3 linked regions of the Callithrix jacchus genome follow. The main gene of each other region encodes a partner of the protein of the gene in region 2 in a complex. Links are inferred from orthologs where the notes say so. Each region holds a gene or a part of one and is shown on either strand. Other genes may lie near its edges.

Region 1 (10,560 bases), on a different chromosome or scaffold from region 2:
GAGGCTGATGCAGCATTACCCCAGAGACAAACTTGTTACTCACATAAAAAATGTGAGTGTGGCCAGGCGCTGTGGGTCATGCCTGTAATCCTAGCACTTTGGGAGGCCGAGGCGGGTGGATCACAAGACCAGCCTGGCCAAGATGGTGAAACTCCATCTCTACTAAAAATACAAAAATTAGCAAGGCACAGTGGCAGGTGCCTGTAATCCCAGCTACTTGGGAGGATGAGGCAGGAGAATCGCTTGAACCTGGGAAGTGCAGTTTGCAGATCACGCCACTGCACTCCAGCCTGGGCGACAGAGCAAGACTCTCTCAAAAAAAAAAAAAAAAAAAAAAAAAAAGTGTGAGTGTGGATGAGGGAACTGAGGCAGAGAGGGAAAGGGGAAAGTGACCTCCTGCCCATCACACAACCAAGAACAGAAAAAAACCGCACTTGGACCCGGCAGGCTGTCTGGCTGCAGAGCTTGTTGCTGTAGTCCTTGCCCTGGGTTAGGGCTCACATCAGCAAGCTGGAATCTGGAAACCAGCAGCATCTAGTTGATGTCTGAAAACAAGAAGTAAATGAAGTCACCCGAGGAGTAGTGATCACCAGCACTTATGGGGCAAGCAGAGGAGACAACCCAGTATTATGTCCCCAGTAACTGACATACTGCAGGTACTAAGTATTTATTGAATGAATGTGAGAAGGAACAACCAGAACAGTGGTAGGCAAACCAGGGAAACCATTGTTCCAAAACTAAGGAAGCAAAAAGTACAAAAGAGGGGAGTGGGCCAGGTGCGGTGGCCTCATGCCTGTAATCCTAGCACTTTGGGAGGCCTAGCAGGGAGGATGGCTTGAGCCCAGGAGTTTGGGATCAGCCTGGGCAACAGTGAGAACCTGTCTCTACAGAAAATTTTAGAACTTAACTGGGCATGGTGGTGCTCACCTGCCATCCCAGCTACTCGGGAGGCTAAGGCAGGAGGATCATCTGAGCCTGGGAGTTCAAGGCTGCAGTGAACCATAATCCTACCACTGCACTCTATCCTGGGTAACAGAGTGGGAATGTTTAAAAAAAAAAGAGGGAGGGTGGTCAACATACTATATGCTGAAGAGAGGCCAAGCTCAAGTCTGAGAAGTGAGTCTGGATTTAGGAATGAGAAGTCATTGGTGACAAGCAGTTCCTTGGGGGTGTACCGGTAGATGTTTAACAAACGACTCTCCAAAAACAAATATATCTATGTATATACATAACTGTATGATAAATTGTACTGGTATAAAGTATGGAAAGCAAAAAATTTACAAATAAAAAGGCCAGAAGCAGTGGCTCATGCCTGTAATCCCTGTACTTTGGGAGGCGGAGAGGGGCAGATCACCTGAGGTCGGGAGTTCATGACCAGCCAGCCTGGCCAACGTGGTGAAACTCTGTCTCTACTTAAAAAAAAAAAAGAAAGAAAATAGCGAGGCATCGTGGCACCTGCCTGTAATCCAAGCCACCTGGGAGAATCCATTGAATTCAGGAGGCTGAGGTTTCAGGGAGCGGTGCACTCCAGCCTTCACGGCAGAGCGAGACTCTGCCTCAAAAGCAGGGGTGGAGGAGAGGAAAGCAAGCAAGCAAAACAGTTTCTCTTAAGTATTGCTTTTGCACATCCTAAGGGAAATCACCCATGTATGCACAACATTACGGTTAGCAATGTGCAGTGTTTCCTAAGACGAGGTAAGCGTCAAAGGATAAAGAAAAATAGAAGTCCGTTTTGTATTACCGAAACTCCTTAATTCCAGAAAGAAATTTCTTAATAACAGAGAGCCACATCACAATTTTCAAGAACAGACAAACCTGAGCGACACCACACAACAATCAAAAAACCGCTAGCCACAACACTCCAAGAGTTATTTTAGTTCTAATATTTAACACGAAACAACGAAAAAAAAAAAAGATCGTCAGGAGAATTCAGATAGGAGTAACCAGGGTGTTGTAAGTCCCGATTACGCAGAGACGTTAATCACGTTTCATGCACCTCCAATCATCATGTTTTATCTGTCCTCCGAAGAGGAACAGGTAAGGATTATCCCACCTGACGATATCTTAATAAACGGCGGATATTCCGGACTCAGTGAAAGAGATTCCGTTAAAAGCTAGGGTGAGTATACAACGCGTCGGTACGAGCCACCTTGCTATTTAACATCCTTCCAATTGTATTGCTATATTTGCTTTCATCTCTTTTAAAATAATTTTTTTCATTCAGCTGAGAAAAGGAATAAATTATTTCTTCCCAGAATGCTCCAATCATTTACGTGCTGGACGTTCTAACTGTATGCACTTTTATTTACATATCCCCGCCCACTTCCTTCCCCCAGACGTCTACCGTAATAACCAAAATAGAAGCGATATCAAGTATCTTACGGTCTGCAGGACTAGAAAACAGCGTAGTTGTTTTTTTCTTCAATAGTTAAGCCATCCCAATTGTCCCCTGAAAACTATATAACTCTTGATCTTACTACAAAACATATTTTATTACAAAACACTAAATACAATGCTGATAATCCCATACATCCAACACATATCCTCTAGCAGAAGCAGTTTCCAAGGGGAAGACTGAAGCCTATGCCTTTCTTCTTCCAGGAATACGAAGCGGCCTCCCATGTAGCCTTCGACCATCAGGAAGGTGATCAGAAAGGTTTCTTTTTCAGCCCAAAGATGGCGATGAATAAAGCCATTTCAGTGACAGCTGGAAGGGCACTACCGAAGCAGGTGGTAGATTCAGAAATCCTTTCAATATAAATATGCAAATCTCCAAACTAGAGACCCCACCCCTGAAAGTATAGGGCAGGTGGCATGGGGATGGGGGATGAAAAAGACTACAGGATCTCATGCATGGAAGAAGGGACCGGGTGGGGGAAAACTTTCAGATTTAGGGTAAACCTTCCTCCCTCATCCCCAAATATTGGGTGTTACCACACCTGCAGAAGAAAAAAATGTACCAATACGTAGTGCACTCCCAACGCTCAAATATGAAGAAGGACAGGGCCACGGATGCACTACAGTGAGCCCCAATGGCTTGGGAAGGCACCACAGTTAAGGAAAGTCTTTGGATCGACAGATAGTGATGGATCAGAAAACATCAGTGGTGGGGTTGGCATCTGCACTCAGGTTCATCGCTTGCTCCCTCACCATATTGCAAGGGCTAGAGTCAGCAGCCCTGACTTCTGAATTGTAGGATGGTCATATGAGGAGAGACCAGAAGTAACTGCATAGATGGGACCTCAGGCTAGCCTACCCCACATCTAGAGGCCAGCTTGGACCCTTCAGATGAGAGGTAAGAGTAGGCTCTCCTACCATGCCACACAGGAGTGCTGACAGCGAATTGATATGCTCTGCTGGAATCAGCCTCCAGGGTTCTAGCACTCCTGGTTCACAGTTCTCTGACCCACGTGCTTCATTTCCTTTGCCATTTCTGAGTTCCCATTGTGCTTTCTACCTTTTGTTTGTTTGTTTGTTTGTTTGTTTGTTTGAGACAGAGTCTCACTTTGTCACCAGGCACCAGGCTGGAGTGCAGTGGCACAATCTCGGCTCACTGCAACCTCCGCCTCCCGGGTTCAAGCAATTCTCCTGCCTCAGCCTCCTGAGTAGCTGGGACTACAGGCACACGCCACCACGCCCAGCTAATTTTTGAATTTTTAGTAGAGACGGGGTTTCACCATGTTGGCCAGGATGGTCTCAATCTCTTGACCTCGTGATCCACCTGCCTCGGCCTCCCAAAGTGCTGGGATTACAGGCTTGAGCCACCGTGTCCCGCTTGTTTGTTTTTTGACGGAGTCTCACTCTGTTGCCCAGGCTAGAGTGCAGTGGCTCAACCTCGGCTCACTGCAACTTCTGCCTCCCAGGTTCAAGCAATTTTCCTGCCTCAGCCTCCTGAGTAGCTGGGGTTACAGGTGTGCCGTCACCACGCCCGGCTAATTTTTGTATTTTTAGTAGAGAATGGTGTTTCACCATGTTGGTCAGGCTGGTCTCAAACTCATGACTTCAAATGATCCACCTGTCCTGGCCTCCCAAAGTTGCTTGAAATAAAGGCGTGAGCCACCGCGCCCACCCCTCTTTACACACTCCTATAGCACCCTGCTTATCACTGAATTACAGATATGTGTCTGCCTCCTCCTCATGATAAACAAAAAAGGTGAAGTTCTCATTATTACTATTATTTTTGTAGACATAGGGTCTCACTATGATGCCTCAAGCAATCCTCCTGCCTGGGCCTCCCACACTGCTGGGAATACAGACATGAGTCAACGTGCCTGGCCGAAAACTGTTTTACTCTCATTTTGGGATTTTAAGTGCCTAGTAAACAGCAGGATTTAGCACATGTTTGAAGATATCCGAACTGGAGAGATTGGTTACAGCAGACACTATGGTGTCAGGTGGCTGAAGGGAGTCCTGATGGAAATGGTCGTGTGGGAAAGGTGAGCAGGAGGAAAGGATACAGATGAGGCTCTGGGTGCTGTTGAACATGGAGACTCCTAGAAGGAAACCGGCCAGCTCCACTGCAAAGAGGCCCAGAGTGACAGAGAGCGCGGCCACCAGCCTGCAGAAAGGAAGTGGACAGCCTCAGGCCCTTGGACTTCTAAGAACCCTCCACTCCCACCACCTCTCCGTTCTGACCAGCCCATTCCGAGAGAGCTCACTGAATGTCCTGCTTTTCATACTCCTCGGGGGTGAACCTGAGAGGCAGGCAGGCCTGGATGTTGCTGTCCTGGGAGCAGAGCAGAGAGGAAGAGAAGTGAAAAAGGGACGGGCGGCGAGGCAGGCCTGGGGGCGGCGGGGAACGAGAAGACCTAAGTGGGTAAGACACTGGGAGAGGGGCAAGATGGGGCTGGGACCACTCCGAGGTGGGAATAGGGGCGGACGGATGTCAGCCGTGGGTCTTACCCGGGACCAGAATAAGGTGATGACGACCACCAGATGCGCCAGGAGCGTCAGGAAGCGAGAAGGTACGAGCCCTGAGACCCGGCCCATGGCCCTTGGAAACAGGGGCGGCGGTCTCAGAGGCCGGAATTTCAAAGAGAGCGACTCCTGAAGTCTCCCTGCAAGCGGACAAAATCTAGACGAACGCCTCCTTCCCGCCCGCTCAGGCACCGCCCAGTTACCTTGGTAACTCCGTACGCGAACGCGGCGCCGCGTTCTCGAAAAACATCGCGAGAGCAGTATATTCTCAAGCTGCTGCTGGCCTCTTCCGGCTTGCGCAGGTCAGGGCTTCCCCGAATGCCATTCTAACCCAACGTTTGGGTATCCGCGCGTAGCCAAGCCCTTTGTTCCTGAGAGGGTGCGAGGTGGCACGGCCCCGCAGCGCCCGATCTACCCGCCCAGGACCGACGAACGGAAACCGACCTGGGCTAGCCTGGGGGCACCTCGGCTTCCGCAGTTGCCGGGAGCGGCCCCCAGCCCCTTCTACACCGACAATTGTGGATCTCCTGAGGCCGCGCCACCGCCATGCCGGGCTGAGGTCCGGGTCCCCGCCATGCCGAAGACTCAGACACGCTCCCCTTCCCCTCCTCCGTATGCCTTTAGCTTCCCACCAAGCTGGCCTCAGAAACAAGGGTCCCGAACTTGGAGAGGCGGTGTCCCTAGACTGCTCAGCAGTCACAGATTGTCACGGAGCCCCTGGATGTCTGAGGACCCCAGGCCTGAACTTTCCTTGAGGAAGACTGATTTCTCTCAGTCTAACTTTGCTCAGTTTGGTGAGGGATTTGCAGAGTGCAAAAAATGGCAGAGCAAGGGGACCGGAAAGGGTGGGAGTGGATGGAGGGAATGGACAGTCCCTGCATCCCTGGGAGGCTTGGAGCTGACTGGAACGGAAACTCAAATCAGATTTCTTTATCTCTTGGAGGTGCTGGGCCTCCGACATTACCCAGCTACAGTCCAAGAAGCTCTTATCATCGGCAACCTCATGACCTTTGGGTTTCAGCGCAGGTCCCCGCTGATCGGAAAGCTCTTTCTTCTCGCAATGCTGTCAAGTCCCATTCTCAAGGGTCCTCCCGGCTCATTTCCCCGGAGAACAACCGCTTCCTCTTCCTCACTCCCCGTCTCAGTGCCTTTAGCCAGTCTAAATATATGCCCAAGAGGCATTTCTCATTTCTTCAAATATTGTTTGTATTTACTGATTACCTAGTAGGTGGATTCTAGTCAGGGAGATCAATAATAGACATGCAAACAAATCCGCAAGATACTATATGCTATGAAAAGGGAAACGCTACAATTATAATTCTATAAAAAGAATGGGGCATTTGTTCTTAAACTTTATTTTAGAAAATTTGGCGCAGTAGCTCATGGCCGTAATCCCAGCACTTTAGGAGGCCAAGGCGGGCAGATCACCTGAGGTCAGGAGTTCTAGACCAGCCTGATCAACATGGTGAAAACCGGTCTCTACTAAAAATATAAAAATTAGCTGGGCATGATGGCGAGCACCTGTAATTCCAGCTACTCGGGAGGCTGAGGCAGGAGAATTTCTTGAATCCTGGAGGTGGAGGTTGCAGTGAGGCGAGATCGCGCCACTGCACTCCAGCCTGGGCGACAGAGCGAGACTCTGTCTCAAAAAAAAAAAAAAAAAAAGAACAGGCCGGGTGCAGTGGCTCACACCTGTAATCCCAGCACTTTGGAAGGCCAAGTCGGGAGGAGCACAAGGTCTGGAATTCGAGACTAGCTTGGGCAACATGGTGAACCCTCGTCTCTACTAAAGATACAAGGGGGGAAAAAATGGCCCGATGTGGTGGTGGCGCATCTGTAGTCCCAGCTACTCGTGAGGCCGAGGCAGGAGAATCGCTTGAGCCCGGGAGGCAGAGGTTGCAGTGAGCCGAGATCAGGCCACTGCACCCCAATCTGGGTGACAAAGCAAAACTCCGTCTCAAAAAAAAAAAAAAAAGATGATTCTCTGTTCCAAACGGAGGGAGATTACAGAGGAGTCTTCTACAACAATCCAGCAAGAGAGGCTGAGGGGTTGTCAGTGAGATGGGGAAGGAGGGTCGGTGGACAAGGGGATTATTATTGAGAAAATAGAATTGACAGGATGTGGTGACTGGAAGTAAGACAGTAGGGGAAGGGAAGAGTCAAGGATGCATCTCCCAGTCTGGGTCTGGCCACTCTCTGGGAGTGCAGAAAGACTGGAATAAGTATGGCAGAGACATGAAGGTATCAGCAGGCACTATAAATCTGAGTCAAGAGGTGGGAGCCAGATTCAGGAGCCCTCATCACGCAGGAAATAGCTGAGTCCATAGAACATGTGTAGCATGAGGAGAGAAAATCTTACCAGAGGAAACCCAGGATTTACTGGGAGAACCGAAAAAGAGACTGGAGCTGGGCGTGGTGGCTCATGCCTGTAATCCCAACACTTTGAGAGGCTGAGGCAGGTGGATCACCTGAGGTCAGGAGTTTCAGACTAGCCTGTCCAACATGGTGAAATCCCGACTCTACTAAAAAAAAAAAAATGTACCCGAGCGTGGTGGTGCACATCTGTAATCCCAGCTACTTGGGAGGTTGAGGCAAGAGAATCGCTTGAATCCAGGAGGCAGAGGTTGCGGTCATCCAAGAATGGACCACTGCGCTCCAGCCTAGGCAAGAGTGAGACTCTGTCACAAAAGAAAAAAAAGAAAGGAAGGGAGGGAGGGAAGAAGGAAGGAAGGAAGGAAGGAAGGAAGGAAGGAAGGAAGGAAGGAAGGAAGGAAGGAAGGAAGGAAGGAAGGAAAAAGAAAAGAAAAGAAAAGAAAGAAAAAGAGACAGGAGAGAGGAGCCACTTGGGAAGGGCCAGCAGACTAGTGTCAAGGCAACCATGGGAAATGAAGGCTCTTGGAGAAGATGTTGCCTGAAGTTGGTTAAGGCCAGGCCTGAGAATGTCTGTGGCCTTTGACCCCTCTGTGGTCCCTGATAACTTTCCAGAAAGCCACTGTGTACAAATTTGGCTTGGATGGGAAGGAATGAGATAGAGCCATGACCTCTTGTGCCATCTCGGCCTGTTGAACTCCTTTCATTTTTCAAGAAACAAATGCGTCTTCCAGCTCCAGGTGTTTCCCTTAAGCAGTTCCCAATTTTGTCTCAACCGCGGAGCTTTAAAAAATACTGATGTTGGGAGGCCGAGGCGGGTGGATCACAAGGTCAAGAGATCAAGACCATCCTGGTCAACATGGTGAAACCCCGTCTCTACTAAAAGTACAAAAAATTAGCTGGGCATCGTGGTGCCTGTAATCCCAGCTACTCAGGAGGCTGAGGCAGAATTTCCTGAACCCAGGAGGCGGAGGTTGCGGTGAGCCGAGATTGCACCATTGCACTCCAGCCTGGGTAACAAGAGCGAAACTCCGTCTCAATAAAACAAAAAACAAAAAACGATGTTTATGGTGGTCAAAATTAGAATAGAGGCCAGGTGCAGTGCCTCATGTCTGTCTGTAATACCAGCAATTTGTGAGGCAGAGGCGGGCAGATCACGAGGTCAGAAGTTCGAGACCAGCCAAACCAACATGCCAAACACCACCACCACCACCCCCGTGTCCACTAAAAATACAAAAATTAGCCGGGTGTGGTGGTGCGGGCTTGTAGTCCCAGCTATTTAGAAGACTGAGGCAGAAGAATAGCTTGAACCCCGGAGGCGGAGTTTGCAGTGAGATGAGATCCCGCCACTGCACTGCAGCCTGGGTGACAGAGCAAGACTCCAACTCACAAAAACAGAAAAAATTAGAACAGAGATTGCTTCTGGGAAAGGAGGAGTGGGGATCCTTAGAGAAGGGACATGCAAGAACGTTGAGTGATGGAAATGTGAACTGTGAGTTGCTCAGGTTTATGTATTTATCAAAACTCATCAAAATATATACAAGATTTATGTGCTCTCAAACAGTTGAAATACCGATATTTTTCAAAATTTTACATACCGATGTCAGAGCTCTTCTTTGGACCGTTTAAATCGGAGTCGCCGAACCCGGGGGTTGTGCGTGCGTACATTCGAAGGCTCCGCAGGCGATTGTGAAAGTGCAACCGGTGAGGAGACCTGCTGCTGGGGGAGCGAATTTCTCATCCCTTCAGGTGCCCTAGGCTCTGGCACTGCTCCATCACGTTCCGTCTGGTTCCTACCCTTCCACCCGTCTCCAGGCAGGTCCGTTACCGCTGGGCTGTGAGCTTTGGGTTCCCCTGGTTATCAGCTCGGGACCCTCTTTCTGGGCGTTGGCAGGACGCTGGGGGCCGGGCGGGACAGACCGCTGAGCCGGGATCCCATAGTCACTGCCCTGGGGTGCCACCCGCCCGACTCGTCTTACAGGGCCGCTCGGCGAGAGCAGATACCAACCCGCAGGTGTTGAGGGGGGCAAAAATTTCCTAGGTACCCATCCATGCCTCGATCACCAGACCCTGGCCTCCTGGCCGTACAGTGGTCATAGGGAGAACTGAATACGCTTACGGCCGGCCGACCTCGTGGCGCAACGGTAGCGCGTCTGACTCCAGATCAGAAGGTTGCGTGTTCAAATCACGTCGGGGTCAGTAGGGAATCCTTTTCCTTCTCTTATCAACTCCGTTTATTTTAAGCTACGGTTGACCTTCGGCGTTCACGTCAGAGAAGGAGCAATGTCTTTGGGGCCTGAAGCGGAGGGGCTTCTAGCACGACGTTTCGAGGCCGCCTCGTCTGGGCGGCACAACTGTCTCGCGGGGATTTTTGCGTTGGATCCAGGTACCTTAATTCTGGACGGATGCCGCGGCTCCTGCGAACAGGAAGAGTTCCAGACCGCTCAGTAGAGGGAGGAGGGTCGGGCAATCACGCAGGGGAGAAGATCTGTCTCCGATTTGCGAGTCTTCTTTCCAGAGCTGAACAGGCTCCCCTAAAATGTGCAGACTTCACAAGAGGCGGGCCCCACAGGCAGGAGTAAGAGTTCAGGCCCCAGAGATGGGAGACCCGAGAATCTGCCTGCAGACGAGGTGGCCGAGTGGTTAAGGCGATGGACTGCTAATCCATTGTGCTCTGCACGCGTGGGTTCGAATCCCATCCTCGTCGGCATGGAAAATGCTGTGGTTTAAATTCAGTTTTGTAGCATAAAAACTAGGATTTCTCTTGTTACTCCCAGTGACTCCATTCAGTTTCCGTGTCTTTCCCAATTGCATCTGTGCTTTCCGCTTTTCCCAATGCATCCGAGTGTTACGTCACACCTTTGTATTCATTCGCTGCAAGCAAGCTGACCTGGCCAAGGAAGTAAGATGCTACCTGTCCTTCCGGCGGCGCCGTGGCTTAGTTGGTTAAAGCGCCTGTCTAGTAAACAGGAGATCCTGGGTTCGAATCCCAGTGGTGCCTCTGTGTTTCTCCACGCTTTTGCCAACACTGAACTCAGCGAGGAGAGTTGCAGATCCTCATAGCTTCCATCCTGTGTGATTTACTCACTTGACCACTCGGTGCAGCTGCCGCACGCTGTCAGGTTTTTTGCCCTTCGTGCACATCGTACTTGAGCCTCGATCTGCAATTACACCAGTCGCATCATCTGTACTTGCCAGTACTATGGCTTGTCTGATACTCTAGGTGCTCAGCTTGTCAGTTTTCGTCTTCTGTTTTAATTTATCATAAAGCAA
Region 2 (10,560 bases):
TTACGGTGATAGGGCTCAAAGCAGGAATAAGGGATCTGCCGTTTTGGACACGGCCAAGGCACGCAGCTCCCGGGGCCTGGAACTCGCCCAAGGCAAGCCGGTCCCTTCCAGGTGCGCAGGCTCCCGACGAGACCCAGCCTAGCCAGGCAGCCCAGCGCGCTCCCGGGTCCCGCCGCCTCCGCCCCGCCCGGTTGCCGTGGGAACCACGGAGCGCGACTGCGCCCACAGACCAGCCTCTGTCTAAGGGGGCGAGGGATAGTGAGGCCCAGACATGGACCTGCCGGATCCGGTACGCCAGCGGCTGGGAACCTTCAGCCGGGCCGTGTTCAGTGATTCCAATCGGACTGGGCCGGAGTACAATGAGGGTCCCGGTGAGTGGACTAGGCCCGGCGCACCGGGTGTGGCCCGCCAAGGGCTTAGCGTGGGTTTTGGAGCCTCCAGAATTTGCCCAGACCTAAAATGGCGACGTCGCCTTCAGCTAGCTCTCCGCAGTCTTAGTTAGCGCCTTGGAGGAGGGGCCGGGTCGAGCGGGGAGCTGAGGCGCGGGCCGCCTATGGGCGGATAACCCAGGGCCGGGCCTGGTCTGCGCGTGCCGCCGCAGCCCAGCCGGCTCTTTATGAGAGAGGCAGCTGAGGTGGGGCCAACCTCTGTGCTAGGCGAGGCCCATCATTGCTCCAGAGAAACCCCAAAAATAAAAAGATAAAAGCCGTTTGCTGCACAGGCTGGTCCCGCGCGCGCCATGAGGGCAAAAGCCCAAGTTGCTTTTTCTCGGCTTCGCCCGCCCGGGCTTTTCTGGGCAGGATGGCGGGGAGCAGCCCAAGCAATCCCACCACCCCCGTCCCAGGGAACACATTTGCCTTTTCTCTTTTCCTAGCAGAAAAGTATGTTCCTCCTCAAGGCCATTTGCTGGTAGAAGAAATTTTGAAACAACAACAACAACAACAAAATTTTTAATGAGTCCTTTCAAACCACCATTCACTCTCAACTGGCATGTGCCATACTGGCTGTCTGTTCAACAAAACTCACCTCTTCCCTGCCTTCTCCACCTCCCCTATATGTAACTCTTACCATAAGGTAACAAAATACCACGATGCTTCTGCATCCTTCAACCTGATGACAAGTGATAACGCAATTTCCTCCAAAACAGTTTCCTTCTCCTACATCATGATGGTAGACAACACACTGTCAACCAAACCCATGTGGTTTTCATCATTCAGCTCTGCTGGGAAATGGAAATCTTTTCCTCTGCTTGGTTTTAGCAAATTTTAAAAAGGGACAGAGAAAAGTAAAGTCAGTTCCTATAGCTGCATTTTGTCACCTTGATCACTTGCCTATTCCCCAAATGTAGGCCTTTGTCATTTAGGATATACAGAGAAAAACGGGAAAAAATTAAGTTTTGATGTTTCTGGTTCCAAGGATGAGGCTTAATGAGCACTAACATCTGATAATAGAAGGTAAAAACGGACGTTTTCTGAAAAGGGCCCGATAGTAAATATTTTAGACTTTGTAGGCCATATGGTCTCCACAGCAGCCATTGATAATAGTTATTGAATAGGCATGGCTGTGTTCCAATAAAACTTTATGGACCCTGAAATTTGTATTTTATATGGATTTCTCGTGTGAAAAAAATATTTCTTTTATTAACCATTTAAACATATGAAAAAACATTTTTATCTCATCAACTATACAAAAACAGGCATCTGGCCAGTAGTTTATCATCCCTGATTTATATTGTATGTTTTAATTTAAATTCCATTTACAGAACTCAACTTGAACTTTTGCAAACTTTAGTAAATTTATCTTATGCTTTTAAGTTTCATTTACATATTAACTTGATTTTCATTTCCATGATTATAACTTTGATCTGCTGAAATAGGGACATAGCATAACCTTTAAGATATTAACACACAATACTTCTAACATAAAAACCATTCTTCGCAAAATTTGACTACAGTTTCTTCTCAAAGGTACTGAAATGTTCAGCTTGCCCAATTTATTATTCTTTCCCACATTTTCTTCTTTGTGGATCTGATTCTTTGTGCTGTAATAACAAGTTCCTATCATTACCATGTCCACAGCATTGTGCTGTTGCTATGAAAAAGATCCTAGGCTGGTGAGTTGTCTTCAAATTTAAGGTTTTTTTTTTTTGGGTTTTTTTTTGAGATGGAGTCATGCTCTGTCGCCCAGGCTGGGGTGCGGTGGCCAGATATCGGCTCATTGTAACCTCCGCCTCCCGCGCTCAAGCAATTCTCCCACCTCAGCCTCTCGGGTAGCTGGGACTACAGGTGTGTGCCACCATGCACAGCTAATTTTTGTATTTTTACAAAATTACCCCCATAGAGACAGGGTTTCCCCATGTTGGTCAGCATGGTCTCATCTCTTGACTTCACGATCTTCCCGCCTCAGCCTCCCAAAGTGCTGGGATTATAGGCATGAGCCACCATGCCTGGCCAAATTTAACAGATTTTTAAGAGTTCACTCCTTTACCAGTGGTAATTTAATAAACGGATGTAAGCAAAAGTAGGTCATAATAATCAGGCATATTCTTGGAGCTAAAGGAAACTTTTGCTTTGAGAGACCATGATTATTTCTTATATTTTAAATGACCGATAAAAACACTCAGCTATGGAGACAAGGGAAAAATACTGTTTTAAAGAAATTTATTTTAGAGCCTTTAAAATGTTACGTGTAGAGCAACTGATTTCAGTATATGTATCTGCTCTTAAGAATTTAGTTAAACTTAGGATGTATTGTATAGGGCTCAATTTTAAAAATCAAATTCTTAATTTAAGACCCTTCTCTTACATAAAAGCAAAAAGTGTTATGGAATAAACCTTAGGTAAATGGAACTCATGTATCACAAATGGTTATACTAGTAATGTCCTTATGACAGTATGCTTTCATTAATTCATTCTTTCTGCTTATGTTGCTTATGTGTATTTGATATTCACTGTGTGTAAAGCAAGATGCTAGATTCTGAGGTTCCCAGATTAGGGTAATACATGGTCTGTGCTTGCAGTGAGCCCGTAGATAAGTAGAAGAGAAGAAGGAAAGGGGACTAATATTTGTCATGTGCCTACTAAGTGTGCCAGGCACAGTGCTAGGATGAAATAATGTATATTGGCTCTAATTCTCACAAGCAGCCTGTGAGGAAGCTTTAATTTCACTCTTTTACAGATGAATAAATAGAAGCTCAAAGAGGTTAAGTAATTTATATCAAATCTGACAGCCAGGGTCACAGAAGTTTGGAGAGCTCAAGTTTGCTTGAACTCTGAAGCCTATGATCTGTTCAGTATACCAGACTGTTTTTTGGGGAGGGGAGTGTGGTTCTTTGCTAGCACTTCTTATACAGTTCAGAGTGATAAATACCTCCTAAAGGGAAAAAGAGATTTCTGCTGGGGTGGAGGAACTGATGAAGGAAGTATTGATGACAAGACGACATTGAATTGGACTTTAAAGAATGGCTAAGATTACGGTATGCTGAAAAGAGGGATGTCTAATTATAATCTTGGTAATCTGTTTTTGTATAAGATTAGTTTATATGTGAGAGATTCTTTTTTTTATTTTATGCATTAATTTTATATGCTCTTTACATAGAATTCTACAAAGGAGGCAATGATACTTATCTGTTGAATAGGATTTATATTGCTATTCCACATTAAATCTATACCAGTAGTATATGCAAAAAAGTCAGAAGACTGTAATGGTAAAATGGTAAAATAATTGAGAAACATGAAATATACCCCCAAATAGCCAATATTTGATCTAAATGGTATTAGGATGAATACTCCTTTTACTGTCAATGATTACAAATAGGCTTAAAATTTGGAGTTTTACTGAGCCAATATTATAGTTATTAACTCTAGGGAACGGGATGTATATATAGGGCATAGACTGGGATTCATAATTTGTTCCTTTTCTATCCCTTCTATAGAAAATGAAATGGTCTCCAGTTTGGCATTGCAGATGTCACTTTATTTTAATACCTACTATTTCCCACTGTGGTGGGTGAGCAGCATTATGATGCTTCACGTGAAGGTAAATCTAAGCTTTAATACTTTTGCCGCCCTGACGTTGTTAGAGTGTCAATAAAATTAAAATTCTTAATAATTTTTTTCTATCTCAGATTAATGTTACTGTATGTGAAATTTTACAAACATGTTTTAGCTTTTTTTTTTTAGTACTCAATCTTGCCTGATTACTACAAATTCATTGTGATCACTGTTATCATCCTAATAACCTTAATTGAAGCCATCCGGTTGTATCTGGGCTACATGGGTAACCTACAGGAGAAGGTAAGCTCTTTTTTCCTCTCAGTGATAGATACAAATGAAATCAGTTTTCATAACAAGTAAAAGGCAGTGAGGTGTGGCAGAAAGAGCACAGGCCTGAATTTAAGGGCTGACTCCAGCTTTACCACTTCTGTTACTGTGGTCTGTTTGCTTAATCTCTTGAGCCATGGTTTCCTCATATATAAAATGGGGAAAATAATATTTACTTCACAGGTTGGTTATGATTAAGTGAAATGATTTATATGAAGTATATGAATGTAGTAAATACTTAAAATTGATATTTTCCCTCATCAGTCTCGAAAATACATGGTCACTTAAACATGTGTATTTGGATCCTGAATAAGAAAATGGGGGAAAATTATAAATTCATTTCCTATTCCAGGTCCATGTTTTCTGCATCATCATGCTGCCTAAGTATTTATGGTTACCAGAGTATAGGGGTAATGCCTAAAGATTCCTGTGGTTTTCTAGGCCCTTCATAATAAGGCCCCACCAGCCTGTCTTACTATAGGTTTTGCTGTTTTCTCACCCAGCCATCCATTCCAGGCTGATGTATTGATCCCCAGTCATGCTAGTTTAACATGTTTGCTTACTTACCTTTTTGCCTCTTCTTCCTTCTCCATAACTTTAAAAGCCTACATTCCTGAGGTCTTTCACCTACCCTAATCTCTATCTTATTTCTTGTAGCATTTAGTCTGTACTTCTAAATATTGCACTTAATTGTTTACTAAAGTGCAGTATTCTAGGATTGTTTTATATAAATTAGTTTTCTCATCTAGATTGTAAGTTCTCTGAGGAAAAGGACCATGTCATCCTTCTTTGGAATTACACACAGAGCCCATCATGTAGGTTCACAGTAGTGATATGTATTTGTTTATCTATATAAACAAACCTGTATTTTACTGATTTTTATTACTCTTGATGTGTGTCATTACAGGTTCCTGAGTTGGCTGGCTTTTGGCTTTTGAGCCTTCTATTGCAGTTGCCTTTAATTCTTTTCTTGCTCTTTAATGAAGGCCTAACAAATCTGCCCTTGGAAAAAGCAATACATATCATCTTCACTCTCTTCCTTGCTTTCCAAGTTGTTGTAGCATTTCTTACCTTGAGGAACATGGTCAATCAGTTGGCAGTTCGTTTTCACCTCCAAGACTTTGACCGGCTCTCTGCAAACAGAGGAGACATGAGAAGGATGAGGTCATGTATAGAAGAGATCTGACCCAGTGTTGTTGAGTGAAAATCTGACAGATCATTCTAGAAGACTGTAAGAGCTAGAAAATATCAGTGATCTAACAATGAGAAAAGGGACAAAGCAAGTGTTTTGAATTATATACGCTCTCACTCTGAAATTCTAAGGTTGAGGACAATGATGAAACTTTGTACAGTATATGAAACAGTGTATTAATCCTAAAACCTAGATGTTGTCCACCTGATGCCAAATTTCTTAATTTTTTGGATGTTGTTGTCTTTTTCAGGAGTATAGAAATCCACGTGTTGGTGGTTGTCATTTGTCAGCCTTCCTGTAATATTTCTGGTTAAAATCTGTAACTAGAGATGTGTACATTTCTTTAAAACTTGTTGGTTGGCCGGGTGCCATGGCTCACACCTGTAATCTCAACACTTTGAGAGGCCAAGACAGGCAGATCACAAGGTCAGGAGTTCAAGACCACGCTGGCTAACACGGTAAAACCTTATCTCTACTAAAAATATAAAACTTAGCCGGCAGCGGTGGCACATGCCTGTAGTCCCAGCTACTAGGGAGGCTGAGGCAGAAGAACCTTTTCAACCTGGCAGGCAGAGGTTGCAGTGAGCCAAGACTGTGCAACAGCACTCTTGCCTGGGCAACAGAGTGAGACTCCATCCAAAAAAAGCAAAAACAAAAACAAGCTTGTTGGTTATCCATGTCTTGGCTGCACATCTGACCATGTTTCTTGACATGGAAATGCCAGCCAGTGTTCCTATGTATTTGACTATATTTATAAACCAAGAGACCAAATTTTTATGTCTGCTAGGGTTAAATTCTAACCCTAATATTCGCTGTCATACTGAGATTAAGAAGAAAACAGGTAGATTGCCATGGTATTTAGGAAATATTTTTGTCATAAAATTATAACTTTCATAAGACCATATTCAGTATTTGTAATGGTGGTATACAAAACACTTTTATAATAAATTATTAAATATTTAAGTTAAAGTATCAGCAACAAATCATCCTTGTCTTGTGCAATTCTTTTGGGGCTATAGATCTGTTTTTTGTTTTTTTTTGTTTTTGTTTTTTTTAATTACTGAGTTGCAAGGGAAGGAAGAAAAGCAAATCCTAGAGAGCTTTCTATGTAGTGGACACTGTAGTGGGCACTTTAACTTAGTGCTTGTGATTTCATCTACTAGGTTACTGTTCACCAAAGAACCACTTCATACCCATTAAATTCACATGAGGCTTGATTTGGAAACCAGAGCACCTCTTAATACATATGAGAGCTAAGATGGCCAAAGGGACTATACTCATGATCCAAAATGAGCTTGCTCCCTTGCTAATTGGAGAAATCTATTTTAGGAGATTGGGTTAAGAACAAAGTTGCTTGGGTGTGTCTGAACATTAGATTTAAGTGACTGTTGGATTGTCTTAAAGGATATGATATTTCATTACAGGTTTTCTTTTTTTCTATAGGGAAATGGGCCTTTATAAGTAATGTATTTTACTGAGGGACAGTTGTAGCTACATTAAAAACTGCTCTTTTCAATTTTCTTTTTTAATAATTCGTGCTTATCTTAGGATTTCCAGGTTTTGCTTTATTCATTCTTGTTTTGCTGAACTTCAAAAAATGTCTTCACTTCCCACTCATTCTTGATTTTTCCTGACAGAACTATGCTAATTTTATTATTTCTGCTCTTTGGGATTATATATAAAGTTCAGCCAAATATTTCTCCCTCCATGCAGTGGCTGATTAATCTTTTTCATACCAAAGTAGTCACTGGTTATACTCGTAATAATTTGGAATTTAAAATAGAATTCTGTTTGAATAGTTTTCTAAAACATGTATGTTTGCATTTGTTTCCCAGATGGGACTAGATAGATGATTCTATAAGAGAATATAAAATAAAATTAAATCTACAAAGCAGATAAATTAGGGCATGATGGAGACTTTTCTATTTCAAGATTGTTTCCAGAGTTTTATTTTAAATAGCAGAACTTCTGGCACATTTAAACTTTAAGATTAAGAGATTAATAACAAAATGTCAATCATAATCATAAAAAATTTTTTTAATTAAAAAATTTGAGAAAATTGATTTATCAAAATTTTCAAGTAATTTTGCTGTAATAAACATATTACTTAAAATGCAGATATAGTAACAGTGGCGGGGGAAGATAGAAAATTGAGACCATGACCAAGTCATTTGTTTGTTTTTCATGTGAACAATAAAACCATGACTTTTTGTATTAGGCTGAATGAATATTTTCCATTGGAATATACCTAGTTCCCTATATAAGTATATGAAAATCAGGGTAGAGTTGATATTTACATGTCAGCACATTTGGGGGTTAGGCAGTCTTTATTTTAATTTTATTTGAATCTGTTTATCCATCCTTAATTTATATTATATCCTCTCTAAGGATTTACAACACTGTTCTGAAATTTTTTAATTAAAATGTTGGACTTCACAAATGTTTTGTCCTTCACATATTTTTTCTTCCAGAGGCTTTTTCTCATCAGAGACAAGATAGGCATAAATTTCTGTAAATCAAAATTATTTTCTTTTTTTTATTTATTTTCTTTTTGAAACAGAGTTTTGCCCAGGCTGGCGTGCAGTGGTGCAATCTCAGCTCACTACAACCTCTGCCTCCCAGGTTCAAGTGATTCTCCTGCCTCAGGCTCCCGAGTAGCTAGGATTACAGGCACCTGCCACCACGCCTGGCTAATTTTTTTTTTATTTTTAATAGAGACAGGGTTTCACTCTGTTGGCCAGGCTGATTTTGAATTCCTGACCTCAAGTGATCTGCCCGCCTCAGCCTCCCAAAGTGCTGGGATTACATATAGGCATGAGCCACCACACCAGACCTAAATCAAAATTATTTTAAAACATCAAAACTTATTAATTTAACATATACTTGAATGACTAGTATATGTAAAGAATAGTCAAAGGTATATAGACAAGACATGCTCCTGGTTCTCAGGGATATGATGTGGGAGATAAAACATTTGTACAATCTTAAGACAAAGTAAAAAAGCGTAACTGTATCAGGAAAGTGCATTGAATGAGTTTCTACCTACTAAGTACCTGACAAGTAACAGGCCCTTGGCTTCCAGTACATCTTCCATCTGTGTTCCTAGCACTTAGTATCCCAGGATTAAGCACATTAGCCCTACATCAACAACATTTAGCATTCACCGTGCTCCACATTGTCTGAGGGGAGTAGATGGCATTCAGGTTAAATGAATACACACTCAATCCCACTTGCCTGTGCAAACAAGAAGTTCACTCTCTGGTAGAAAAGGCAGATAAGCTATAAGTGATAGCACAGTGTGATGGGGCCCTGTAGGATAACAGAGAAGAGACATCGAAATGACGAAATCTGGAAAGCCTTCCCAAAGAAAGTGACACTTGAGATTTGAAGAATGAGTGGGTATTAAATTCAGTGTTAAGAAACAAAAATTAGTGACTGTGAGTTCTGTTTCAACGACTACAACTAGTTTGTTGAGCCTAGTGGAAAGTGTGCATGAGAAGAAATGGTGCAGAATAAGGCACAGAAGCTTGGAAGGTGCTAGCAAGCCTGTCTACAGCTTTGAATATATTCTGACTCCCTGAATAGTTTAAACAGTGGAGTATCACAAACAGAATTAGATTTCAGAAAGACCTCTTTGAAGACAATGTGAAAAATGGATTGAAAGGGTTGGACAAGAGGCAGAGATACCAAGAGGAATGTGATTATGTAACTTAGGAGTGAACAAACTGGCCTGGATAAAGTCAGTGGCAATAAAATAAACTTGAATAGAACCTACTATAATGTTTTAAAGATAATTTCGTATTTTAAAACAGATATAAGGAGAGTGTTTTTCTAATTTGTCTTTTCAGAGATTACCTATAATGGTTAACAAAATGATATATTCACTGCCTTTCTTATCTCTCCCACACTCACAGGTTTTTTTTTTATTATTATTATTGTTTTTCAGAGACAGGGTCTTGCTCTGTCACCCAGGCTGGAGTGCAGTGGCACAATCATAGCTCACTGCAGCCTCCAACTCCTGGGCCCAAGTGATCTCACCTCAGCCATCCAAGTAACTAGGACTACAGGCACATGCCACCATGCCCGGCTAATTAAAAAAAAATTTGTAGAGCTGAGGTTTCACTATGTTGCCTAGGCTGGTCTTGAACTCCTGGCTTCAAGCGATCCTCCTGCCTCAGCCTCCGAAAGTGCTGGGATTACAGGGGTGAACTACCACACCCAGCTATTAGATTAGTATTAGACTTAAGTAGAGCTCTATCTGAAATAATCTAAGTTTTATTTGACATAACCTACTTAATGATTCTTTACTTGAATTACATTTACAGTTTTTAAAAACTCAAAAGGAACAGAATCATGAGATTCTGAGAGTAAAGAAAAATCGTCTGTAATTCTACCACCTTAAATAACAACTGTTAGCAAATGTCATCTTTCTTTGACATTTTTACTTTGCAAATAGTTTTTTAAAAGAAACAATTGTGATCATAGGCACTTATAATTGTGCACCCTGCTTTTCTGAAAACCTTAGAAGTATTTTCCTATGTTTCTACATAGTTACAAAATCATCATCTTAAATGATTGTGTGTTATTTCATCAAGTAGATGGGCCATAATTTATTTAACTTCTCTCTTATCATTAGATATTTCTGTTTTTCCTTTTTCTTTATATATAACATTGTAATGAACATCTCATGCATAAAGCTTTTTCCATGTCTTAGATGATTCCTTTTAATTAATAAGCCAGATTTTTGGAAGTGAAATTGCTGGATCATAGAGTATGAACGTTTTTAAGGCCAAAATACCAAATTATATTTACTTTCTACCATTCACCACATACAATTCTAAAAATAGTGCAGTGAAAATTCTGACAAGGACAGATTTGTGGACTTTAGTTACCCATTTGTCTTTGTATTTCTGAGTAGCTACTACAGGAACACTGAGTGTGAGAAAGGAAAAAAAAATCTGAAAGCTATGAAAGGAGAACTGCAAAGAATTTAAAAAAAAAAAGATTTTTGAATTAAGGGAAAACTGATAAGGGACGGGAAAAGGA
Region 3 (10,460 bases), on a different chromosome or scaffold from region 2:
GGAAGACTGTCTCTAAAAAAAAAAACAAAAATCTCAAAAGATCCTTAAAAATAGGCTATTTTAGGTAGATAGCTAGTAGCCAGCTATAGGAAGTTAAAACTGGTTTCTCTGGAGGTCCTATCTTCAAGTGCTGATTATAAAAGTTAAGGAAATTTTTAAGCAAACAGGAGTCTTTCTGTTTATGAGTGTCTGAAAGTTAGATGCTTGCTGCTGCTGCTTCTTTCTTTTTCTTTTCTTCCTTTCCTCTTCTTTTTCTTTATAGCCTCTGCTAGATCCATGGGACCTGAGGCTAAAAAGACTTATTTTTAGTTTTAGTCATTTCAATAAATATTTCAAGAAAAACTCCCCAAGGGGTACAAGCAATTTGAGTGAGATTCATGATATATAAATAAATGTAAATGATAAGTTATGTTTCAAAAGAAAAGAACATATTTAGGGTAGCTTATCTGTCCCTGTATTTACATATAAACTAAACAAGGAGTCTGTCCTATGACTATAAAGCTGCAGACTCTCAAAGGCCCTTAAGAGCCTCACTATCGACAAGAACGCGAACTCTGAAATCATGTTGCCTGAGTTCAAATTCCAGTTCTGCCACTTACAAGGTGCATGACTTTAGGCAATTTTTTAACCTTCCTGTGTCTCAGTTTCCTCATCTATAAAATAAGGATAATAACAGAGTCTAGCTCTGAGAGCTATAATAAAATATTAAAACATTATTAGGTATAATGAAATTACAATTGTCCCTTAGTATGTCGGGATTGATTCCAGATCCCCCAAGTACACCAAAAGACACCCATACTCAAGTCCCACAGTCAGTCCTGCTAGAACCCATGTATACAGAAAGTTGACCCTCTACAGATGCAGAATTTGCATTCTGTGAACACTGTATTTTCTATTCTCAATGAGTTCAGTCAAACAGTTCAAGCCCATGTTGTTCAAGGACCTCTTAGCTAAAAGGCCAAGAAATGATGGATCAACTGTGACTACTTAATACAGTGCCTAATACAATATAAGAACTGACTACTGGCTGAGTGCAGTGGCTCATACCTGTAATCCCAGCACTTTTGAGAGGGCAAGGAGGGTGGATCACCTGAGGTCAGGAGTTCAAGAATAGCCTGGCCAACATGGTGAAACTTCATCTCTACTAAAAATACAAAAAAATTATCTGGGCATGGTGGTGGACACCTGTAGTCTCAACTACTTAGGAGGCTGAGGCAGAAGAATTGCCTGAACATGGGAAGCAGAGGCTGCAGTGAGCCAAGATCATGCCATTGCACTCCAGCCTGGGTGAGACTCTGTTCTGGAGGGGGAAAAAAAAGAACTGACTATTAGCTATTGTTCTTGTCACCTTCTTTCTGCTACAGAAATCAGGATGTGGTCAATATTTGATAATAACCAGTAAGTAGGCAGAGTTAATAAAGAACCAATGTTACTTAGAAGTATAATCTCTATTACCTGTATAATTCCAATGGCTAGCCAAAGAGCAGCAGACACTGCATATCTCAAAATGCGGCTGTAAGGAGCTATGTAGCTAGGTGGGCTTCTAGAAAGACTAGAAGATGAGTCCATTAATGCTAAGTTCTTGAATCCCACAACCTCGAGTAAAAAGAAAAAATAATAATTTATACACACATGTACAAATTTATACACTCTAGACTGAAAATGGAAAACCACTCCCTACTGCTCACCTTGAAAAACTAAAATATCCAAGTTTGATAAATAGTAGAAGATCTAGATAAAAATAATTATTATTCAGTATTTTAACTACAAAGTATTGGCCAGATGTGGTGGCTCACGCCTATAATCCTAGCACTTTGGGAGGCCAAGGTGGGTGGATCACCTGAGGTCAGGAGTTCAAGACCAGCCGGGCCATCATGGTGAAACCCCATCTTTAAATAAATAAATAAATAAAAATAAATTTAAAAAAAACTACAAAGTATTTATTACACAATATTTAGTTCATTTGGTATTCTTCTCAATACAACTAAGGGTCAAATATAATCTTACTGTCATACACATTGACAAAACTAAAAATTTAGTTAAAAGGATAAAACTTTCATCAGTAAACTACAATGTATGAAATCAACAACTAGTATTTCATGAGTATTTAACATGTGCTAGGCACTGTACTAAACACTTTTATACTTTAAAACAGTATACTACAAAATGTCTTCTAAAGGACGTAAGTTCTCTGAAAAAGGAATCCATGTTTAAATACAGTTGGTCCATCTATTACACTCACCACCATGCCTCCCACCTTGTAGAATAAAGGCTCTGAGAAGTTTTACAGTAAAAAGTAGCTACATTATTATATTGAATCCAATATTTTCCAAACTTACTTGACTATAAAACATTTTCATGTAACACCTTTTAAAGTTGAGGAAACACTCTTACACACACACACACACACACACACACACAAACTTTAGTACAAGAAAAAAGAAGTATGTGAGGTAACAGATAAACTAGCTTAATTTGGCCATTCCACAATGAATACATGTATCAAAACACTGTGTTTATGAACATATATAATTTTTATCTATCCACTTAAAAAAAAAAACAAAAGAAAAAACCAAAATGCGACTTCAAGTAAATTTTGCAAGTATTGCTTTTATCATTTAAAAGCCCTAGGGACACAAACATTCTTCTACTAGTTTTAAAAAAGGAAAGGGGAAAGAGAATGAAGAAAGAAAAAAAAGGGAAGGCTGACAGACAGAGCTGAAAGTTAATAATGTATATTCAACCTTAATTAAGCAGATAATTCCTGAGAAAACCTATTCCTATATAAACGGTTTCCAGGTTCAGTCTCATACTTAGTAGTGAATACTTCCTTTAATAATTCCAACCAAATCCATGAAATAACTGCAAATATATCACAAATATGTTGTGTCGTGTTCAGTCGTAGCCCCAGCTCTTAGCAAGGAACATAGTCTATAGTAAGTGTTCAATAAAAATTTGTTGAAAAATATCAAATTTACAATCGTGATTCTTTTTTTTTTTTTTTTGAGACCATGTCTCACTCTGTGGTCCAGGCTGGAGTGCAATGGCGCAACCCCGGCTCACTGCAACCTCCGCCTCCCAGGTTCAAGCGATTCTCCTGCCTCAGCCTCCAAAGTAGCTGGGATTACAGGCATGTGCCACCGTGCCCAGCTAATTTTTTTTTTTTTTTTTTTTTTTTTGTATTTTTAGTAGAGATGGGGTTTCACCATGTTAGTCAGGATGGTCTCGATCTCTTGACCTTGTGATCCGCCCGTCTTGGCCTCCCAAAGTGCTGAGATTATAGGTGTGAGCCACAGCGCCTGGCCTATAATAGTGATTCTAATGCAGGGGAGAATATGGATCATGGGGTAGGGAGCTTTTTCAAAATACAGATACCTGGGGTTACCTCAAAGCTACTATATCGAACATAGTCTCTAAGGGTAAGCCTAAGCATAGGTATTTTATGAAAGCTCCCCAACAGATTCTGATACAAACCATTGGTTTTAAAGCTACTCCTTTCACCTAGAGCAGTCAAACACACAGGGAGTATTATAGTATAGTGTTTGCCAGAAGTTAGGGAATTGATACAAAGTTGTTTAAGAGGTACAGAGTTTCAGTTTTGCCACGAGTTCTAGAGATGAATGGTGGTGATGATTTTGCATGACAATGTGAATGTACTTAACACTATTAAACTCTACCCTTAAAAATACTTATGACGGTAAATTATGTAATTTATTTTACCACAATTTTTTTGAAGTCACGTCTTTTTAATGGCCTCACCACAGTCTTTCAACCTTTAGAAAAATCTTCCACTGTCATGAAAACTTAGTTGGAATTATATTAGTTTAATATTTCTAAGGTACATGTAAGTTCCATACAATCACATCAAACAGTTCATACCTCCAAAAAGAAGAGGACAATAAATACTTGAAAGAGTGAATTAATTTTTCTCACAGTCTGAATTTCATTCCATTCATTTGCTACAAAATATGTTCTCCATATGCTTACAGGAACAGTGGCACTTCGTACACCACCCTCACCTGGTCAGTGAAATAAAATGAGTAAAAGAGTTTTACCTCCTTTGCTCTGCAATGGTAGCAAAAGAATTTTGGTACAAATGTTTATTTCAGTTACCTTCAACAGCTTTAAGAACCTTTCCTTTAGGTCGCTCCCAATCAATAAAGAATATATCTATTGTAATCTGGGATATGAGCGTATGCAAAAATTGTAGTGCCTGAGAATGACATATAATAAAACACCTAAGAAAGTATCAGCATTAAGCCTGCTTATGAAACCAATATTGATTCTTTAAGAAACATACTGTTATTACAAGAACATAAACTTTTGTGAGTGAATTCACATAAAGTTATAGTACCACTAGGGAATCATTAGAAGCTCATCAGATAACCTGGAATCACCAAATTTATAAAATTTTCATATATATATTAATTTACCTTACCTTTTTCTTTTTTTTTTTTTTAAATAGAGACGAAGTCTCACTATGTTGCCCAGGCTGGAGTGTAGTGGCTATTCAAAGGCACGATCCCACTACTGATCAGCACAGGAGTTTTGACCTGCTCCGTTTCTGACCTGGGCCGGTTCACCCCTCCTTAGGCAACCTGGTGGTCCCCCGCTCCCAGGAGGTCACCATATTGATGCCGAACTTAGTGTGGACACCAATCGGCATAGTGCACTATAGCCCAGAACTCCTGGACTCAAGAGATCCTCCAGCCTCAGCCTCCCGAATAGCTGGGACTACAGGCGCACGCCACCATGCCCGGCTCCCTTTTTATTTCTTTCTTTAAAACAGAAAATATGAAAAGAGGAGACTTTTTTACCTCTTCCTCACATAGGAGCTTGTATAATTGACCCTTACCCAAAGGTTCTAGAAGCACACTTTGTTGTATAGACCAGCTGACTTCTTTATAAGTAAATATATTTCCAACTATAGGTTTTCCTAAAGTTTTTGAATGCTCTTGCTGTCTTTTTCTTTCTATTTCTGCTATTAAGGTTTCTGATTTTTAAAGAATGTGTTGTTGAAACACATCTTCCTCATCTACAGAAGCAGTATGTTTAAACCGAGGCATTTTTTCTAGTTTCTGCATTATTGATCAAATAAAGGATAAAAATCTAAGTATGGGATACATCACTTAGATAAGCTCCCGGTCAGTGGAAAAAGCAGACATTTAATATTCACGGTACAATGGGATAAGGACTACCAAAAGGCACATAAAGAACTTCACCTACATTGACAGAGAACACTGAGTTGGGGACGTGGGGGCCATAGGAAGAAACAAGCAAAGGAATATGGAGACATACAAAACAATTTTTAAGATCTCAACACTTTATTCAGAGTGGTACCTTTTAACCTTGATTAGTGAAGACAAAATTCATGCCTGAAGACATTTTGTCCCATTGTCAATGTATCATCAGACTTTAAAGAAAGTTATATATTAAAATATCATTTTATCAAATTAGTCACAACTCATGTTAATCCAAATAGATGTACGGCTTCTTTGAAAAAAATATTTAAGGCAGATTTTCAGACTGAGTATCTACTATAAATAAAAGTAAATTTACCACATAAAATGATGAAGGCTTTCTTTCAAAACCAAAGTGAATTTCACACCAAAGATTTTGAAAGCATTTTAACTTTAAAGACTTACTAGTTCATTAGCAGGCCTTTTAAATTTAGTAAAACTTACCTTCAGAGCAAAGGCACATCCAACATAAGTGACAAAACGTTCTTCCTGAACTGGCATTGGGAGCAAAACAGAGACAGACTTTTGTGCCTATAATAAAAATTACTTGATTAAATACAATCACACAAAGTTTTTGTTATTTTGTTATTGTTGTTTTTGGAGAGGAGGGTCTCAGTATGTTGCCCGGGCTGGACTTGATTCTGGACTCACAGTATCCTCCCAGCCAAGTCTCTCAATTGAACAAGGTTTTTACTAAGCACAATTGATAGACCAAAGAAAGCATAAAAGAGGATGATAGTGATATAACCGATAAGCTCAGCACACTCAAGGAATGGGGAGTTGGGCACCTGTCTTAATACTATTGATCAAAAATTCTCCCAAATAAAAATAATTCCTTAAAAGGAAAGCTTTTCAATTATTCAGACATTGGCAGTTGGGGTAAATTCAGAAACTCACTCACTTTGAAGAAAATAAGCCAATAAAGACCTGTTCCCACTGTGATGATAAAGAAAACATTGGCCAGATAGCCAGCATAGTACACCAAGAATTTCATAACTGTCTGCAATTAAAAAAGAAAAAAGAATTACAGCTGTTTAAGACTCAATATATATAACCCCTTTAGTAACACTACCGCTTTTATACATCATCCACTCCATTTCTGAAGTCTTGTTTCACATATCCACATATAATCAAGCTATAAAGAACACCTGCATCCTCCTCCTTGCTACCTTTTTGTTCCTTATCTTTCTGTCCATTCCTGGTAGCCTCTTTTTTCAACTCTTCTCATCTTTCACTATCTAAGAAAGTTGAACTGCTTCCTAGTTTTCTGTTAGTTGGGAATCCTCCACTCTAATCTCTCCACACTACCACCAGAGTTAGTTTTCTAAAATGTAAATTGGATTGTGTCACTCCTCTTGTTAAAAATGAATAACTCCTCACTGCCGTATAAATTGCTGATCCACAAGGTCTTTCAGAATATGAGCCAAAATTAACTTTTCATCTGCCAGTTCCAGCTGTGTGGTTAACAATCAACCATTCCATTTCATCTTGAATACTTTGTAGAAAATGGGCATTGTTTTACCAAATATTCTTCCTCTGTCTGGCAAGCTCTCATGATCTCTGAGAGCACAGACTATGGCTGTCTTCACTCACTATCACATCCTCCAGTGCCTGGTAGAGTGCCAGACACTTCCACAGTGGAGCCTCAGTGACTACTGTGGAATGAATAGATAACCCCTCTTAAATTTCACTTCAATGGAAAGCCTTTCTGGACTATCACAAGTAGCAAATCAAGTCCTCCTGCCAATTCCTTAGCTCACTGGCTTTGGAATCAGAAAGATACTTTGGTTAAAGTTACCATGTAGCCTTTCTCATGTTCTTCATCAACAAAATGGAAATACCTATTACTGAGTTGTAGTAAAAATCAAGTGAGTAGAAAATTTAACCTTTGCCTCTATTTCATCATGTGTAAAATGTGACTAATAATAATAATATCTAACTTCAAAGAGCTATTGTGAGGATTAAGTTGTATCATATACGTAAAGATATATACATAAATTATATACATACAGCTTTAAAAAGTACCCAGTACATGGTAAATATTTTTTAAATGTTTGATAAAAATAAAAGGTTAAACATGAAGTGAAAGTATAAAGTTAATAGAATAAAATGTGGACTATCTTTGTGATCTTGACATAGAAAAAAATCCTAAAAACACATACCATAACATGAAAATATATTCAGATATGATGATATCAAAACTAAGTTTCTGGCCAGGCATGGCGGCTCATGCCTGTAATCCCAGCACTTTGGGAGGCCGAGGCAGGCAGATCACGAGGTCAGCAGGTTGAGACCAGCCTGATCAACGTTGTGAAACCCCGTATCTACTAAAAATACATAAATTAGCCAGGCGTGGTGGTATGCGCCTGTAATCCCAGCTACTCAGGAGGCTGAGGCGGGAGAATCACTTGAACCTGGGAGGCGGAGGCTGCAGTGAACCAAGATCGTGCCACTGTAGTACAGCCTGGGCAACAGAGTAAGAATCTGTCTCAAAAAAACAAAAACAAAACAAAACAACAAAAAAACTGAGGATTTCTGTTAAACAAAGGACCACATGGATAAAAATAACAGATGGGTCACATATTTCAACAGCAGAAACCAAAAAGCAGTTACTATTTAGAAAATATTAAAAAATCCTTTGAATAAACAAGAAAAACTGGAAACATAATAGAGAAATGGGTAAGGGATACAGGCAGTTCACAGGAGAAATCCAAACTATTAAAATGTATATGAAGAGTAATCAGAGAAATGATAATGAAATCAACAATGACATACGACTATTTGTCACAAGATTGGCAAAAAATGGAAAGGTTGCAAAAATATCAAGTGTTGCCAAGCATGCGCAGAAGTAAGAAGAGCACCGCAGGCAGGAATATAGACTGGCAGACAGTATGATGGAAGAACATGAGGTATGCATATACCATATGACCCAGCAATACTTAGATCCTAATTACATGCCTCAGAAAAATTCATTCTCTAGCCGTGTCTTATGAGAAGGATCCAGAATAGTCAAAAGATTAAAATATTCTTAAAAAATTCCTGAGATTTTACCTGTAAATCAATCATGGGACTCCCAATGCGCCTCTTCCATCCTGCTGTCTTCAAAAGAGATGCTAAAACAGCTAGCCCACCCAACACACCCAAAGCAATCTAAAAAACAAAAGAACAATTTAGAATTTATGTAATTTCTCTCATCAGTGTTCAAAAACACTGTGAACAGAAAGAAGTGCTCAAAAAAAACAGTGAGGGAGGGACATGTTGAAAGGACACAGGAGTCAAGGTGGAGAAACTTCTAAAGGACAAATCTGGGACAATTTGAACAAGAAAATAAACTATAATATAATTACTAAAACAAAACAAATATGAGTTCACAGTGATTTAAAAATAAATAATTGAATAAGTAATGTGAGCAAAGGGAGAGTTTCTCCTCACAGTAAATTTTCAAATTAAATAAATAAAAAAGTAATTAGGGAAACAGAAAATCACCATGAGGTAAATATCACAGTGAAACTTTCTGCAAGCAAGAAACACCAATGGATGCTATTTAATAAAATTAGAGGGCAAAATAATAATAAGAAGCAGAATGTTTGCATAATTTCAAAGATTCTCCCCCATGAGATCTATCTATCTATCTATCTATCTATCTATCTATCTATCTACCTACCTATCTGAGACAGAGTTTTGCTCTTGTTGCCGAAGCTGAAATGCAATGGCATGACCTTGGCTCACTGCAACCTCCACCTCCTGGGTTCAAGTGATTCTCCTGCCTTAGCCTCCCAAGTAGCTGGGATTACAGGCACCCACCACCATGCCCAGTTAATTTTTTATATTTTCAGTAGAGACAGGGTTTCACCATGTTGGCCAGGCTGGTCTCGAACTCCTGACCTCAGGTGATCCATCTGCCTCAGCTTCCCACAGTGCTGGGATTACAGGCATAAGCCACCATGCCCGGCCAAGATACTTATTAATTACAAATGGAAAAATGCAGTGGAGAACTCTGCAGACACCATCTTAGCCATATGATTAAAGTTAACATCATCAATAAGAAGACATGCTGACATCATGTGCCTCCCGATATGATGCACTGAGAAGGCACCGTATCACTTTGGTGGCATCTTTGCTAAAACTATACGAACTCAATTTGATCATGGGAAAATACCAGACAAACCAAACTGAAGGCTAAAACAATGGACCAGTGCTCTTCAAAAGTGCTAGGGTCATGAAGGACAAAAAAAGGTAAGAATCTGTTACACATTGAAAAACACTAAGGAGATATGACAGCTAAAAGCAATGTGTGACTCTAGATTGGGTCCTGAAACAGAAAAAAATTCAATAGTGAAATTTAAAAAGTATGTAGATTAGTTAATAGGAGTATATCAATATTAATTTCCAGATTATGACCACTGTACTAAGTAAGGTTATGTAAGATGCTAACATTAGGGGAGGATGGAGGAAGAATATCTGGCAAATTTTGTTCTAGCAACTTTCCTGCATATCTTATTTAATTATAAAATATACTGTATATATTTTAATAGGTTAAAATAAACTTACATCTGTCTGGATATCTGCTTCTCCATGATCCATTTCATAGGTGACTGAGAAAGAAACCTGATATTTAAAACAAAACAAATTAGCTATACTGAAATTATATAATACAAACTTAATATTATAAAAATACATTTGTAGCTGAGTTTTATCATAAACACTATAGTTTTTAACTATCAATATTACTAGAGTTGACCTTTACTTACACGTAAATACATATGCTTTTGAGAATTATTTTTGTGCTGCTTTAAATATCTCTTTCATACACATTATAAAGGAGCTCATTAGGAGATAAGTTAGATTCATGCACAAAAGTTTAAGTCAAACTAATCGTATTTCAATTTCCAATAGATTTCTGTAACTGAGGAATTTGATGAAACTTGTACATCAAGAATTTAGCAACTGGCTAAACAACCATACCCTATGCAAATTCATCAAAGGTATGAACAAAATTCTTAAAGATACCATACACTGAGACAATCAGACTAAGAGAAAGAAGAACCTAGTAAAGGGTCAGAGAAGAGGACTGTGATGGGTAGGAGAGGAAGATACCTAAGTCTTACCATGGTCACAGAATAGGGAGTTTCAAGGAGGAGGAGGTTGAGTACTGTGTCAAATGTTGTATAAATGTCAAGGTAAAGAAATAAAGCCACTATATGTGGAAATCATTGCTGA

Evidence for each region.
Region 1: TMEM17 (region 2) and TMEM107 share a complex: the UniProt entries of both Homo sapiens proteins name them as parts of the tectonic-like complex. The link is inferred for Callithrix jacchus from reciprocal best matches to the Homo sapiens genes TMEM17 and TMEM107.
Region 3: TMEM17 (region 2) and TMEM67 share a complex: the UniProt entries of both Homo sapiens proteins name them as parts of the tectonic-like complex. The link is inferred for Callithrix jacchus from reciprocal best matches to the Homo sapiens genes TMEM17 and TMEM67.

The regions. Positions count from the first base shown.
Region 1 is NC_133506.1:74,650,424-74,660,983, forward strand, and holds TMEM107 (transmembrane protein 107), read right to left. Parts: upstream 5,115-10,560; 5' UTR 4,990-5,114; coding exon 4,903-4,989; intron 4,727-4,902; coding exon 4,659-4,726; intron 4,559-4,658; coding exon 4,458-4,558; intron 3,037-4,457; coding exon 2,940-3,036; intron 2,719-2,939; coding exon 2,649-2,718; 3' UTR 2,474-2,648; downstream 1-2,473. UniProt on the Homo sapiens protein: Plays a role in cilia formation and embryonic patterning. Requires for normal Sonic hedgehog (Shh) signaling in the neural tube and acts in combination with GLI2 and GLI3 to pattern ventral and intermediate neuronal cell types.
Region 2 is NC_133515.1:51,608,338-51,618,897, forward strand, and holds TMEM17 (transmembrane protein 17), read left to right. Parts: upstream 1-242; 5' UTR 243-271; coding exon 272-371; intron 372-3,934; coding exon 3,935-4,038; intron 4,039-4,181; coding exon 4,182-4,295; intron 4,296-5,229; coding exon 5,230-5,508; 3' UTR 5,509-6,497; downstream 6,498-10,560. UniProt on the Homo sapiens protein: Transmembrane component of the tectonic-like complex, a complex localized at the transition zone of primary cilia and acting as a barrier that prevents diffusion of transmembrane proteins between the cilia and plasma membranes.
Region 3 is NC_133517.1:33,383,762-33,394,221, forward strand, and holds part of TMEM67 (meckelin), read right to left. Parts: intron 9,849-10,460; coding exon 9,792-9,848; intron 8,391-9,791; coding exon 8,292-8,390; intron 6,241-8,291; coding exon 6,142-6,240; intron 5,772-6,141; coding exon 5,685-5,771; intron 4,214-5,684; coding exon 4,114-4,213; intron 4,020-4,113; coding exon 3,880-4,019; intron 1,597-3,879; coding exon 1,456-1,596; intron 1-1,455. UniProt on the Homo sapiens protein: Required for ciliary structure and function. Part of the tectonic-like complex which is required for tissue-specific ciliogenesis and may regulate ciliary membrane composition.